Linked DNA regions of Astyanax mexicanus. The protein of the gene in region 2 purifies or fractionates together with the protein of the main gene of each other region. This does not show direct contact. Links are inferred from orthologs where the notes say so. Each region holds a gene or a part of one and is shown on either strand. Other genes may lie near its edges.

Region 1 (4,862 bases), on a different chromosome or scaffold from region 2:
TTATGCCAGGATGTAAAAAAAATAAAAAATAAAAAATAAAAAAAAAAGAAAATAAAAACGTTGGTCAAACATTCAAGAATTTTGATTATTAAAACCTTTTCTAGTTCAATTTAAGCTTCTACCATTCCATTCTTTTTTAGTATAAACTCTAAATATGTTACCACTGGTACAGATTTATATCTTCATCCACTGATTTTAATGTGATTTCTATATGAATTGAAATGGTTACTCCTTATTGCATAACTCCAACCATCTCCATGTGCCTTCCATGTAGAGTGTGTGGTTATGTGTGTGAGTAACTGAGTAAGAGAGCTGAACCTGAGATGTTCCAGAGCGAGAGCTGTCTGGTCGAATTCTCCGGATTCATCATAAACCACATGGAGCTCCTGCAGCGGGACTTTATTCTGCTTGGCCTCCAGTAACGTCTTCACCGAGTCCTCAGTGAGGTCACAACCTCGATACTCGCACTGCAGGGGCTCCACTAGCTCCACCTTCCCCTTCAGCTCCTTATAGTCAACATCCACCACCTGCAGAACACATGAAGACATGCATGAGTGAGTCTGGTGTGAAAGAACTTGACTGGTCTGCACAGTCGAGTCCTGACTTCAACCTGATGGAACACCTCTGGGATGGATTAGAATAGAGACTGATAACCAGAGCTTCCCATCCAACATCAATGTCTGACTTCACGAATGTATTTGTGGAAGAATGAGAAAAAATTCCATAAACACACTCCTAAACCTGTGTAAAGCCTTTCCAGATGAGCTGAAGCTCTTATAGCTGTAAAGGTTGGGCTGAGATCATATTAAACCCTATGGATTAAGAAAAGGATGTCACTCAAGTTCATATAGCTTTAGAAAAAAATAAAAAGACCACTTCAGTTTCTAAATAGGTTTCTCTGATTTTGCTATTTATGTTTAAGTAAAATTAACATTGTTGTTTTATTCTATAAACTACAGACAACATTTCTCCTAAATTCCAAATAAAAATATTGTCATTTAGAGCATTTATTTGGAGAAAATAAGAAATGGCAAAAATAACAAACAAATTGCAGAGCTTTCAGACTTCAAATAATGCAAAGAAAACAATATTCATATACAATGTTCACATTCATAAAGTTTTAAATGTTTAGAAATCAATATTTGGTGGAATAACTCATGTTCTCCTCCACCAGTCTTACACTCTGCTTTTGGATAACTTTATGCTGCTTTACTCCTGGTGCAAAAATTCAAGCAGTTCAGTTTGGTGGTTTGATGGCTTGTGATCATCCATCTTCCTCTTGATTATATTCCAGAGGTTTTCAATTTGGTAAAATCAAAGAAACTAGTCATTTTGTGTAGGTGTGAAAAGGCAGACGAGCAAATACTCTTTGCACTCACTTCAACTAGAACATCAACCATGTCAGTGTGCCACAGCGCCTGCCAATCACATGGCTCCACCACCTTCTCCAGGTAATCCGCAGTGAACTCCTGCACCTCTGAAGGTTTACAGTCGCCTGCAGCAGACAGACAGAGACAGAGATGGGTGAGGAGAGGTTTCAGAGGTCTAATGGAGGTCAAACATTTATATTTTAGATATTTTATATACTTTATATATTATACCTCAGGGAATTTTAATATAATATTTTAAAAAGTATTATATATACTGTATTTATCCATTTGCTGATCTATTCAGTATAGAGATCAGCAGATGTGATTATGAACATAATAAACAGTGACACATCTACAGATGATGAGGTTAATATGCAGCGAGTTACCGAGCATGTAATCCTGATAGGCTTTGAATCTCTCGTAGAAAAGCAGATGGTTGGTTTGGAAGATGTGAGGCAGCCCCGCGCTCCCGAACGCCTCGGCCCGCTGTAAATGTGTGCACAGCTTTTCATCGTTAGACAGCCCATCTGTGCCGCTGTCATCTTCTTCATCGTCATCCTCGTCATCCTCCTCTTCATCGTGCTCGTCATCCTGAAACATCGCTACAGAGGAAAGAGTTCCCATCACTTACAGCGATATATCATCACTATACCTGCGTTTTACCCATAGAAATGTTCACTTTCTGAATGAAATTCTGCAGAATTTTTACTGTTATCCCGCTCTGTGCTTATGGAGACATTATTAAGGATGGATCAATTTGTCAACATAACTGGCCACATAAACAGTCATTTGTAACTGCACTTTGCTACACACAGTACCACAGTTAATGGTTTTATAGTTATGTTTTATTTTTAAGTTTTCATGGTCATAGTTATGTTCATGGCTCATACATGTTTTAACCAATACATTTTCATGATTTTTCAAGGGACATTTTCATGACCATATGATTTTTAAAACATCAGTGCAGACACAAAAACAAAATTGAAGATAGTAGGCCTAAAATGAATCTGATAAAAATGTTGACACTCAATCTTTAATAATAAAATGCGTGTCAGATCCTGAGAGCTCTACTCTATAAGGCTAAATTACTGAATTAACTCTGAGCTGATGTATTTGTAGCTCAAAATAGCTTTTCTCCTTCAATAAACTGAAACATAAAGGATTTGTGGACAAGGTTTTCAGGACTTTTCCAAAACGTTCTAGGTCTTTTTTATTTTTCCAAAACTAATCAATCCTTGGAAATTGCTATTTTTGAATTTCATGACTTTCCCAGGTTTATCATGACCGTATAAAGTGATTTAGTTAGCTAGATAGATAGTTAACTAAGTTAGTTAGTTAGTTAACTAGTGATTTAGTTAGATAGATAGTAACTAGTTAGTTAGTTAACTTGTCAGTTAACTAGTTACCTAGGTAACGTTAGTTAGTCAACTAGTTAGGTAGCTAGTTAGTTTGCTTGTTATTTAAATACTTATTTAGGTAACTTTAGTTAGTTAGTTTGCTAGGTTAGTTAGTTAGTTAGTTCATTAATTAAATAATAACTACTTATTTAGTTAGCTAGGTTAGTTAGTTAGTTAGTTAATTAATCAATCACTTAACGTTACTTATAAGTAAGCTAGCTAACGTTAGTTTGTTAACCTCGTTAGCTGGTAAGTTAGTGCTAGCTAAGTTGTTGTGTTAAACCGCTGGCTGTATCTCTAAGCTGTCTCACTGACACTTCGCTGTACTGCATTAGTTTCTTAGTAAATCAGTAAGTCGGTTCTGGTACCTCTGGGTAAGAGTCTGGGCGCCGGTTTTGGTTCAGGTTCTGGCTCTGGCTCTGGTTCTGGCTCTGGGTCGGTCTGGTCCGGTTGTTGCTGTTGATCATCCACCGGCCGCTGCTCTCCACCCTCAGATACACACACTCCACCGCCCTCAGCCTTCATCTCAAAAACACTCAACTACAATCTAAATACTACAAATAATCAACTAAATATATAAACACGCATATAAACCCGTAACTGTGTAAAAAGTGTGAATTTAAATTAAATAAAAATAACTAAATAACTGAACTCTCCTCACTGCTCGCTTCAAATCAGCTGCATTCAAATCCACCCTGCAAACGCGCGGACAAATAGAAAGTGGCGTCCGGTGACAGCGGACCAATAGAGAGCGGTTTCGCCCAAGAGGGGGCGGGGCTTTTGTAAAAGACGTGGATTTTATAGAAATAAAAAAAATAAAATTAGAAAATTATAAATAAAATTATTAATAAAAGATTGTTTTTGTCTATGTGTATTACCTTGCGATTTTTTTTATTTTTATTTGCTTTAAATATAGTGTAGTTTTGACATTTTTTGTCCAATTTTGCACCATAATTTGATGCAAACAACTTTTTACTAAATGATCTAGATCAGAATAAATAAAATATTTTCTTTGTTTATACATACCTATAATGTTACATAAAATACCTGAAACATATGCTTTTTTATTTTTAAAGGGGACAGACTTTAAAACTCAAAAACTGAAAAAAATGTTTTACTATACACACAAGTTTACACTTCAAAATGTATTAAATAAAAAGATGTTAAATCTCTAATTTGAAATAATTTTGTAGCTTTACGGAGTGGTAAGTATTTTTTATTATTATTATAAAAAGGTTTAATGCCGTTTATAACATTATAGGACATCTACACCTCAGAAAGTCTTTTGTAAAAAACATAAATACATTAGTATACAGAGGTCTAAATAAAAAATGATTTTTATTAACTATAAATTTAGACATTTTAGAAATAATTTTGAGTAATTTATAACATTTATAACCAAAATGTATTTTAAAAAAGGACATAAAACACATGTACTGTAGAAATGACTGAATCAGGGAAGCTGCGGTTGATTACTCAGGTCTCACGTACCGGACTTGGCGATCGGTGATCGGCTTTCAGCACTGGGGGAGCCGGTGTGGATCCAGCATGGCGGGTAAGTGTGGATTATTATTGTATTAATAACATTAATAACAGGTTTATTAAAGCGACGCGCGGTTGTTAGTGAGTGTTGTGTGTTGTAAACCGAGTCTTCCTGCTGAACTGAGTCTAAATAACCAATCCAGGGCTGTTGTTTCCCCAGATAACACTAAACGTTCCTCTAGCATTAGATTTAGGTTCTTTAAGGTTCGTTTTTGTTTTATTTTTTGTTAAAGTCACTGAACACTAAACTATATGTTTTTAACATAATAGCTGAAATGTGTTCCTTTGCCGGTCATTGCTGTTTTTTGTTCTTTTCTTGTTCACAGAAGCAGCGTTTTCCAGTATTCCTCCAGAAGATGGTAAACTTCTAGGAGTTCAGGTGAGAGTTCTTTTCAGGTTCTGACTGATTTGCTCTATTTACAGTAAACCAATAAGTCCAAGCTATTTGAACCGCTATTTATAGGTTTATGTTTGAGTAAAATGAACATTGTTGGACAACATTTCTCCCAAATTCCAAATAAAAATATTGTCATTTAGAGCATTTATTTGCAGA
Region 2 (4,862 bases):
GAAAAATAAACCATGCTGAAAAATCGAAATCAAGCAAAAAGTCCAAGTTTACCATTTTTACAGTGAATAAGGTCATCCACAAGAGGTTTGGCAACATCTTCAAACAATTCCCGCTGTGTGGTTTTAATTCCAAAAACTTTCTTGAAGGAATATTGAGTCTGCAAAGTAACAATAAAGATAAACTCAATCAGCGGAGGTCACACTGACTTCAACATGTTTACTGTATGCAACTATAACACACAAAATGCCAGTTTTCTGAACAAAATGTTCAGTTTAAAAAAAAAAACAAAAAAAAAACAATATAAATTAAACTTAATAATTTCGCCTCATCTAAAGAACTAATATTGAATTAATTAAGTCTGAAGCACTGTTTAACTGTAGTAAACGCAATATTCTTTTTATAATGTAATACTAATCTAGTTACTAATTTTTATTTTTATTCATGCTGTGGAAGATATAAACAAAACCATCTAACCTCTTTAAATTCCCCATTCCTGTTGGCTTTGAGTCCATCAGGGGCATGCAGCTGGATGGTAGTACTGCTGATCACCTCAACACAGCATTCTTCGTCATCTGCACCTAGTGGACGTACTCGACAGTACACCTTCCCAAGCACACACACAAAGGTTACACACTGTAATCACCATTTCCAGTAATGTGACAGGAGCACACCAAGATTAATGAGCTGATTACCAAAGATCATGCAATAAACATACTAAAAGGCAAAAATTAACATCAAACATACCCCAACCGGATCTTTCTGGTTGTTTGTTGGCTTTTTAGGAGCTGGTCGGCGAGGGGTCTTACCCTTTCTGTAATATAAAATGCGGTATATAGAAAGCAGGTAACGTTAACTATAGAGAACAGATAATGTTAATTGACCTGAACCAAAAGGTACATGCTCTGTTGGCTGAAGCAAGCAGGCGGTGGCACATTTTACTTTGTTTATTTTTCAATTCAAAAGTAAACCTGTTGACAGGTCTAAAAGTGGAAGTAAATCCCATATTATGAATTAAACAAGTTAAGTTTTTTTTTTGTTTTTGTTATTTAATGTTTTATTGGTTTTAAAGTAATTACAATGTACAGGAAAATAGCACATTAATCAATCTCAACAAACAAACTAACAAACAAACAAACGAAAAGATTTGCTAATAGCACACAAAAAAAGAATAAGCACCAGTGTTATAAGCACTAAAAAGATTCTATAAAATAAAGCAATCAATACAGAAGTATAAGAAATGTTGCATAGCTATAAGTCAATCGAGTTTAAATACTCTGCTGCCTTGTCCCACATTCCATAGTATAGTTTATATTTTGGGTTAAAAGAATAGGACACCCGTTCCATCAAAATGTTTTCCATTAAAAAGTTTTTCCATATAGTTAAAGAAGGTGGCTGTGTCTCTTTCCATGAAAGTAAAATAGTTTTACTTTTTTTGCCTATTAATGCAGAAGATAAAATCATTTTAGCTACTAAGTTACTTTGCTAAGTTTACATACAGAGGTGTCACCTAATATAATTAGTCTTGGAGAAAGTGATATTTTAACATTTGTGATTTTAGATAAATGTTCAACAATACTTTTCCAAAAAGGTAATACACATGGGCAAGACCAGAACATATGGATAAGTGACCCTTCTTCTCTTTTACATCTCCAGCACAGATTTGAAACATGAAGTCTGTAATCATGTAATTTCTGAGGAGTGTAATGTATTCTATGTAATATTTTCATTTGAATAGATCTTAGCTTCATACTAGGAGTTGAACATTTTTTGTTGCTCCATACTAAATTCCAGGAATTATCATCCAAGACTTCATTAATGTCAGTATTCCATACATTTCTAAGTTTGCTATGTGATGTTTTAAAGATTGGGCAATGATAATCTCTAATTTTCATATATAATTTGGATACAATTTTATTACGATTTTCAAAATCAAACAAAGCAGTTTCAAGTGAGGAAGGTTTAAAAGTAGTATTTGTATAAATTTGATCAATTGTTTTCTTTAGATGTAAAAATATATATGAATCAGAGGTGCCTATTTTAATTTTTTCTTTTAAACTGCGTAAATTTCGACTTTACTTAAGTTAGAGGAGGAATTGGCCCAACCTTTTTCATTGAAGGAGATTTTTCTTCATGGCCCTGCACCTTCTTTAAAACAAAACATCTTTTTTTCAAATGCCAACCGAATTTTTAAAGCTTTATGCAATATTTTTGAAATACGAAACAAACTTTTTTCAAGCTCAGGTCTATGGTATAATCCTTTATTTACATTAAATAAGAAACCATTACATAGTGTCGATTGGAGCTCCAAAGGTATAAACATGGTGAAAGACCTCTTTGAAAATGGCAAATTACTGAATTAAACAAGTTAAGTTAATAAGTAGCAACAAGTAAAATGACAAATGTTGAGACACCTGCTCTTTTATTACTTAAAAAAAAACTAAAAATATTTGGTGGAGTAGTTAACAATCCCTAATGTCCAGGAAAGGCTTTCCCCTTCAATACAATACTTCTCTGTGTGTGAATTTACACATAGGTGTCAGAAATAGGTGTAACTTATATGAATGCATTCCTTAGGAGTGCCACAAACGTTTGGACACCTAGGTTAGCTAGGTATTTGGAGGGGTAACGTTAGCTAGGCTAGCTACATTAAAACACCAGGTAACGTTAACGTTAAAATGTTAGGTTAAATTAGACAGTGTAACGTTATTTATTAAACAGATTATCAGTATAAACAGATGAGCCAGTTAACTGTGAGCTAGGTTAGCTAACTAGCTACGTTAAATAAATGTTATGATGGATAGCAAGACAAGATTAAAACAGCGAAGCTAAGCTAGCTAGCTAACGGATAACTTGCTAGACATTTGTGGTTTTAAGCAACGCGATGTCATATTAATAACCACAACTTACAACTCGGTTAAACCTCCTGACTTACTAATCCATTTTACATTATAAAATGTTAAGTTATCTGCGCACTATAAACTAACGCTAGTAGTTAAAGTTTTTCGAGTTAAGCTAACCAATTAACTGGCGACACAACGGGGAGGACGCGGGTTAGTCAGTTAGCGATAGTCAGCCGGTTAAGATACGCTGGAGTTGTAGGAGAACAGTGTTACTAGCCGTCTAAAATAAAACAGACTTTCCGGACAGGTTTATACAGTAAAACTCAGACTGTGACAGAGACACTGTAGATACTCACGTCGGCCGGATCATCCTGCGCTGTTTTTATTTAACTGTGAGCCGCTCCGCCGCTCCGCTCTCCTCACTGACACACAGTTCGAATCTTCCCTCCGCCTGAGTTTTCAAATCCACCAATCACAGCGCAGAACCAGCGCCTCGCGCTACCGGATGTCCCGCCTAACGCTGGGAACGTAACTTCCACAACAACAACAACATTAGAAATATTATAATAATAAAAATAATAATAAAAAAAAAAAAAAATAATAATAATAATAATAATAATAATAAAAAAAATAATAATAAATAAACACATAATAATAAATAATAAATAAATACTACTACTACTACTACTACTAATAATAATAATAATAATAATAATATTAAGAGGAAGAAGAATATTATCCACAGTTTCCTAAAATAATCTCCTAACTCATATTTAAATTTTTTAACACTCATTTAAAAAGTGTAAAAAATAAAATATTTGAATATTATAGAAAATTTTATAGAATATTTGATGCATTTTATTTTAGAGGTGATTATTTGGAACCAAGAAAATTAACTCTATACAGTATATACAATAGTTTGTGATATTAGGGAAATTTCATATTCACAGCATGAAATGGTTTCTCAAAACCGAATTTGATAAAAAATTTAAAAGATTTAAAACATTACATTCTGCTTGTAGAATATTTAAGTAATAAGAAGGCATTAAAAACAATCAATATTATTTAAGTTTTTCTTTCACTTTTTTAATATGCACATTTGAATCTTAAATTATAACGAAAAAAATCAACTAAGAGGATAGTTTATCATACAGTTGAGCAGTAGAACCATCCAGAAACAATCCTTATTCAACATTCTGAAAATACAGATAACAAAAACAGTTACATTTTAACAGCCACAAACTGTAGAACTTTTCTAGCTAGCTTAATGGTCTAAGCTATTTTGCTGACTGCAGACAAAATAAATCTATAAAACGTAATACTAAATATCTATGCAATATCTATAGCAAATAGCCTTTATTAATATGAAGTATAATATATTCTAGTACAAATCCCATCACTTACCAATTAGGAATGAGTCCCGTAGAAATTAATTTAGTGAAGGTAGCTCTGTCTTGGAAAGCTTTACAATTACAATTGCACAAGTATTTTTTTAGCTTTAGTCATACTCTTGACATAGACCATTATCATTAAGGTGTTGAATCAAATTATCTTACAAACTGAGGGTGTAGGCAATTTTACCACAGATGGCCAGCATAATGAGCAAATTATTTAGGCATAAAAGTCAATTTTGTAAAAAAAAAAAAAAACATTATGTATCATATTAATGAAATCTATTTGTATTTGTTACAACACAATTCATAGCTGTTATAGATACTTTTCAAACATACGCACAAATACTATACACAACACTACACAAATGGAATTGTGTATTGTTCGGTCTTTTGGACAATCACAATTATATATTATAAGCTGTACATTATACATACATGTAAATTCTCAAGTGAAATATACTGCATTAATCCAGCTTTCTTTAAAACAATTCAACAAACAAATACAAATCTATAAAACATGAACTACAGTTACACTGAATGTGTAACTGTACACCCTCTTGCTTGTGCTTTTCTAAACATTTACATTTCTGTATTAGTTAACCTGTTGAGCAGATTTTTTATATAATT
Region 3 (4,862 bases), on a different chromosome or scaffold from region 2:
ACAATGTGCTTGCGTGGTTTATTGGTGCACATCCTGGTACATTTAGGTTTGTGCCTGTGTGAAACCAAACCAAACAGAGGTAGAAAACGCTTCAAGTAAACAAATTCCTCAATTGATCTGGAGCAGAGAACCCAACTACAGGTGTGAAATCACCCTTGACCTCAGTGTAACCCTTCAGGCTCTGCATAATAAAATCATGACACTTAAAAAATGACTGGGTCTGAACTATGTCTGCAAAAGCAATACTGTTGCCTTATATTTGGAGAAGGTCCAATTTAACATATACTAAATGAGATGGTATAACCAACATCTGCTGTAGCTGAAATTACATTAAAGTTGAAATTAAAAGTTCTTTGGGGAACTCTTAGTGAGAAAATGGACGTTATAACATTACATATACATATATGGTCTTTTACCTTTTCAGAAGTGCGGCCAGTGGATCGAGACCGCTTGGCAGCAGCTGGTGGACCTTCAGTGTGGTTTCGGGAGGAGCGCTACAAAAAAATAATAATAATAATTTATTTAAAATCACATATTTGCTTTAAGGAATGTCCAAATTTCATGAACTGGGTTTTATAGATGAATATACACAAGTCATCAGCTTACTCTCTTCTGACGTTTCTTCAGTCGAACAGTTCTGACAACAGAGGAGTCCCAGTCCTGTTGAGAAAACAACAAATCAAATTATGTTTATATGTTTAACTCTATGGAATAAACAGCAAAAATTAAAGTCAATAGAAAGTTAATTACCAACGAATCATCAGTTTTATCATAACTGATGTCTGATAGGATTGAGGCAGATTCATCAATGGTGGTCAACCTACAGAAAATTAATGTTACAATTTAAAAAAGAGAGATATTTTAGCAGCTTATTCCTAAGCTTGAGTGTGACATATTAATAAACAGTGATATTATTTTTCTCTCCCTCACCTTCGGCTGCTGTTGAGATTAGCAGGTGTCTGAGAGCGTGCATTAAGAAAAGCCAGGGCTGAGCGTTGCTCATCATTCAGCTGGATGCTATTGCTAGAACCCTCCGTGACCAGCAGATCTCGGATCAGCTGGATCTGACGATCCTGTGGACAACAAAAAAGAAAGAAAGAAATTATTTACTGGGTTTACTCTAAGAAAGCCCTACTTCACCAGTTACTGAGCTTTATAAAGCAACCTATGCACTCGTGGAATGAATGGAAGGCAAATGTCAATCAGCATTTCTGTCTGTCTGGTATGTGCAATGTCTCCAGGTCACATACCAGCTTTTCGCAGTCTGCTTCAGCTTTTTGTCGTCTCCGGATTTCCACGTCCACTTGGTTACGAGCGTGTTTAAGTTTGACCTCCAGAGCCCCTCTCTCAGTCTCCGCCTTGGCAAGCACCTCCTTACACGAGGCGAAATCCTGCTCCACTCGGAGCCATTTACGCCGACAGTCCTCAAAGTTCAGGGCCATCTGAATGAACTCTATAAATACAAGCGTAAGTGTAAGGAAGACTGTTCCCATGATACCGCTGCATATACACACATGGCAGGTTGTATTTATGTGTAAAATAAACAGTGTAATTCAACTCACGAGGCTCGATGCTTTCACTGAGGACGTCAACATGGGCTCTTAGATTTTCAAAAATGCCAAAAAGGTTCATCACAGCAGTGTCCATGTTCTACAAAGAATAATAAAAAATTAAAAAAACAGAACTGATTCTACAAAGGCTCTGTATATATTTTTTTTTTGAATAACTGACAAAGATGTTAAATTATTAAGTTCAACAATCCTAAACAATTATTTATATTTATATATATATATATATATATATATATATTATATATATATATATATATATATATATATATATATATATATATATATATATATAAAGGTTGTATGAAACTTTGTACAGAGTTCTCCCAATGTAATATAAAATACAAAAAAAGAAAGAGTTAGTCATTGAACTCTTGTCCAACTTAGTCACATGTAGCACTTTATTTTTGGTTGTGTCTGCCAGCATGATCAAGCTGACCACGCTAAATAACTAGTATGCCCAAGCTAATCCAATTAAACTAAAAATTAACAAATAGGTAGCCGAATCTTGCCAGGTGTTCTGTCGAGTTATGCTACCCATCGATACGTGCTTCCTAAAGGCACTGCGCATGCGCTGACCTACACCTTTTGATTATTTCTCGTTTTATTTATATATATATATATATATATATATATATATATATATATATATATATATATATATATAATAAATGCTTTTTTTGTTTGTGCATTAAACAACTTGGACTCACTGTCATTGCACTAAAGTGTGAATAAAAGTTACATACAATAATTATAAAAGACTTATACAGGGAACATGCTCTAATACGGTGCTTGTTTTGTATTTTTACAGTTAAATATACACTAGAGTAGCCCACAAGTTAGCACAACTCACCACAATTCTGTTCTAACAACAACAACGCTGTTGTAACAACAACAAGTTAAAACAGCCTTTACATTGTTACCTAGCTTGGTAAAGTTAGCTAGTAACGTTAAACTCGCTATAAACAGACCTTAGCTACGTTATAATACAAACATTAGATAGTTAACGTTGACATTTTATACAGTTTTAACATCACAAACAGTTCGCTAAAATGCCTACAAAATAACCTTAAGTAACGTTAGTTAACTTGACCTAGCTAGCGTTAGTTAGCTAGCTAAGCTAACCGACTGTGTAACTTGCACAAGTCAACCCCAAAGCAAGGTGAACGCACATTAGCTAGCTAAGCTAACTAACTTAGTTCTAAGGAATGCAGTTAGTTAATGTAACGCTCAAGAAAATATAGTAAACATATCAGCTAATGTGGTAATCCTGTAACGATAAATTAGCAGCGGGTTCTGTGTTGTGCGGTGATTTTAAACAGATTCACACAGTAACTACAGTTAATCCCGGTGCTGTTGAACAACAATAACAACTATTATTGCGGTAAAATCTGATAAAACCCGGTAAAATACTCACCTCTGCGCTGTGTCCTCTCGCTGTGATCTGTTCTGATGATATTAATCAGGAGGAAATTGGGAAAACCCGCTGAATTACACTATAAATCGCTGCCTGCCCATCAGAGCTGGGTCGGTCTGAGCACAGCGCTAACGGATTAGCAGCGAGTGTAGTTACATTTCAAATTTACCCGCTAGCCAATGAGCGCCAAGCTGCGCAGGCGTGAACAGTGAGGCAGAGCGGGGGGCGGAGTCTCATTAAACTTTGAATTATTTTTAACTCCAAAGACAACATTTGTTATTTTGAATTAAAAAAAAAAAAAACATTATGTATAAATATTACATATCCTTTTCTTTTTGTGAGTAAAAGTTATATTTATAAGGAAGAACTATTAAATAATACATAAAAATATTTTTAAGCTTATATCATAAAATAACTCAATAATTACTACATTTTTAAAAAAGCTATGATGGATTTTTTTTCAACAAACACATGTGATGAAAAAACTGAAGCTTTGTGTGTCTATATTTTTTTTCCCTTAAAATTATATTATTTGTATTTTCTTTAATAATAATATCTCGTTTTCTTTCAATTTAATTCAGTTCGAGTGAGTCCAAATTAATATAAAGCATGCTGTTTTCTTTACTTCTTTTTGTTTGTGTACAACTATTTTCTACTATTTTTAGCTAAAAAAATGACTGGCTTGACTTTGACTAGCATTGTATATTCTATATTGAAATGTAAACAAAGGAACTAAATAAAATAACTAAAATATCAAAATAACCACAAATAAAGTAAGGTAAAGAAAAAATATCATACAATATCTAATTTGTTTTTATCTTCTTATATATGAGCATAAACCTCCATAAAGCAAAATGCAGTATGGAATGTTTATTATATTTTGTCCTTATAATATATTTTTCCTTCTTTTCCCCCTTATTTCCCCACTACGTTTTATTGCCCACTTCAGCAGCACAATAAATCTGTTTTACTAAGCTCCCTGCTAGTCTCTCTCCTCTTGCGTTTTCAACCCAGAGAGGCTTCGCCTGAAAGAGCCGGATGGTGGCAGCAGAGAATAGAAAACCCAACACCAGCTGCCAAAGCTTCACCTGAACCTCCCCATCAAAAACTTTTACAGTTTTCTGGATTGTTTACACACATTTTCTGAAAACATGCCTCATATTCTCAGAACTCTACACACAAATCCAACAAAAACGCACACAATGGGCAAAATCCTTCAATTCTCCTGCAAAATGAAACTTTACATTCAAAACAGTGTTATATTTTCACAAAAGGCTATTTTGTGTTCAGATGACACACAGAAACCATCATATGAACAGACAATTAAAAGAAGCAGTTGAACACTGACGTGCTCAGTGTAAAACACCATTCTCCATTCATCATAATGACATACAGACAGTAAACACATAAGTGCGTTGTAAAATATTAATTTTTTTTTTTTAACTCAGAACAGACAAATACACAGTAAAATAATAATTTTATTTTTCCAACAAAATGTACACATGTACAATGCAACCAATACAAAGATGCAGTGATTTACATACAAAACAACAGAAGAGTTTATTGTATAAAATTACAGTAAACAAAAAAACTATGCTGCATCCTGTCTTCTGTTTTAGTCTGGCCACAGCATCTAACCAACATCACAAGCAATCCAGCTATTCAATGCATCAACTGCTATATCTCCACATGCATATTCTATAGCTTGGAGAAGGGGTATATCCGTTTGTGAAGTTAGGTCATACACTTTCCATCTCCAGGCGGGAAAAAAATCATCAATAGGATTGAGGAATGGAGAATATGGGGGGGAGATATACAACTGACAAGAGTGTGTGGGCAGTGAACCAGTTATGAACCAAAGCAGCCAGGTGGATACT

What was found.
Region 1: the proteins of kif23 (region 2) and shcbp1 purify together in Homo sapiens (affinity purification with western blotting; 9 studies listed by BioGRID and IntAct, with this or other methods). This does not show direct contact. The link is inferred for Astyanax mexicanus from reciprocal best matches to the Homo sapiens genes KIF23 and SHCBP1.
Region 3: the proteins of kif23 (region 2) and racgap1 purify together in Homo sapiens (co-immunoprecipitation; 10 studies listed by BioGRID and IntAct, counting the BioPlex papers as one, with this or other methods). This does not show direct contact. The link is inferred for Astyanax mexicanus from reciprocal best matches to the Homo sapiens genes KIF23 and RACGAP1.

Annotation. Positions count from the first base shown.
Region 1 is NC_064430.1:24,491,978-24,496,839, forward strand, and holds the start of shcbp1 (SHC SH2 domain-binding protein 1), read right to left. Parts: upstream 3,471-4,862; 5' UTR 3,293-3,470; coding exon 3,136-3,292; intron 1,973-3,135; coding exon 1,757-1,972; intron 1,496-1,756; coding exon 1,380-1,495; intron 528-1,379; coding exon 319-527; intron 1-318. Other genes in the region: pop4 (ribonuclease P protein subunit p29), read left to right, coding at 4,316-4,322, 4,636-4,688. UniProt on the Homo sapiens protein: May play a role in signaling pathways governing cellular proliferation, cell growth and differentiation. May be a component of a novel signaling pathway downstream of Shc. Acts as a positive regulator of FGF signaling in neural progenitor cells.
Region 2 is NC_064416.1:24,630,679-24,635,540, forward strand, and holds the start of kif23 (kinesin-like protein KIF23), read right to left. Parts: upstream 3,324-4,862; 5' UTR 3,212-3,323; coding exon 3,198-3,211; intron 813-3,197; coding exon 746-812; intron 605-745; coding exon 476-604; intron 159-475; coding exon 53-158; intron 1-52.
Region 3 is NC_064420.1:6,132,721-6,137,582, forward strand, and holds the start of racgap1 (rac GTPase-activating protein 1), read right to left. Parts: upstream 3,146-4,862; 5' UTR 2,986-3,145; intron 1,651-2,985; 5' UTR 1,648-1,650; coding exon 1,563-1,647; intron 1,454-1,562; coding exon 1,251-1,453; intron 1,074-1,250; coding exon 931-1,073; intron 821-930; coding exon 751-820; intron 661-750; coding exon 607-660; intron 495-606; coding exon 417-494; intron 1-416.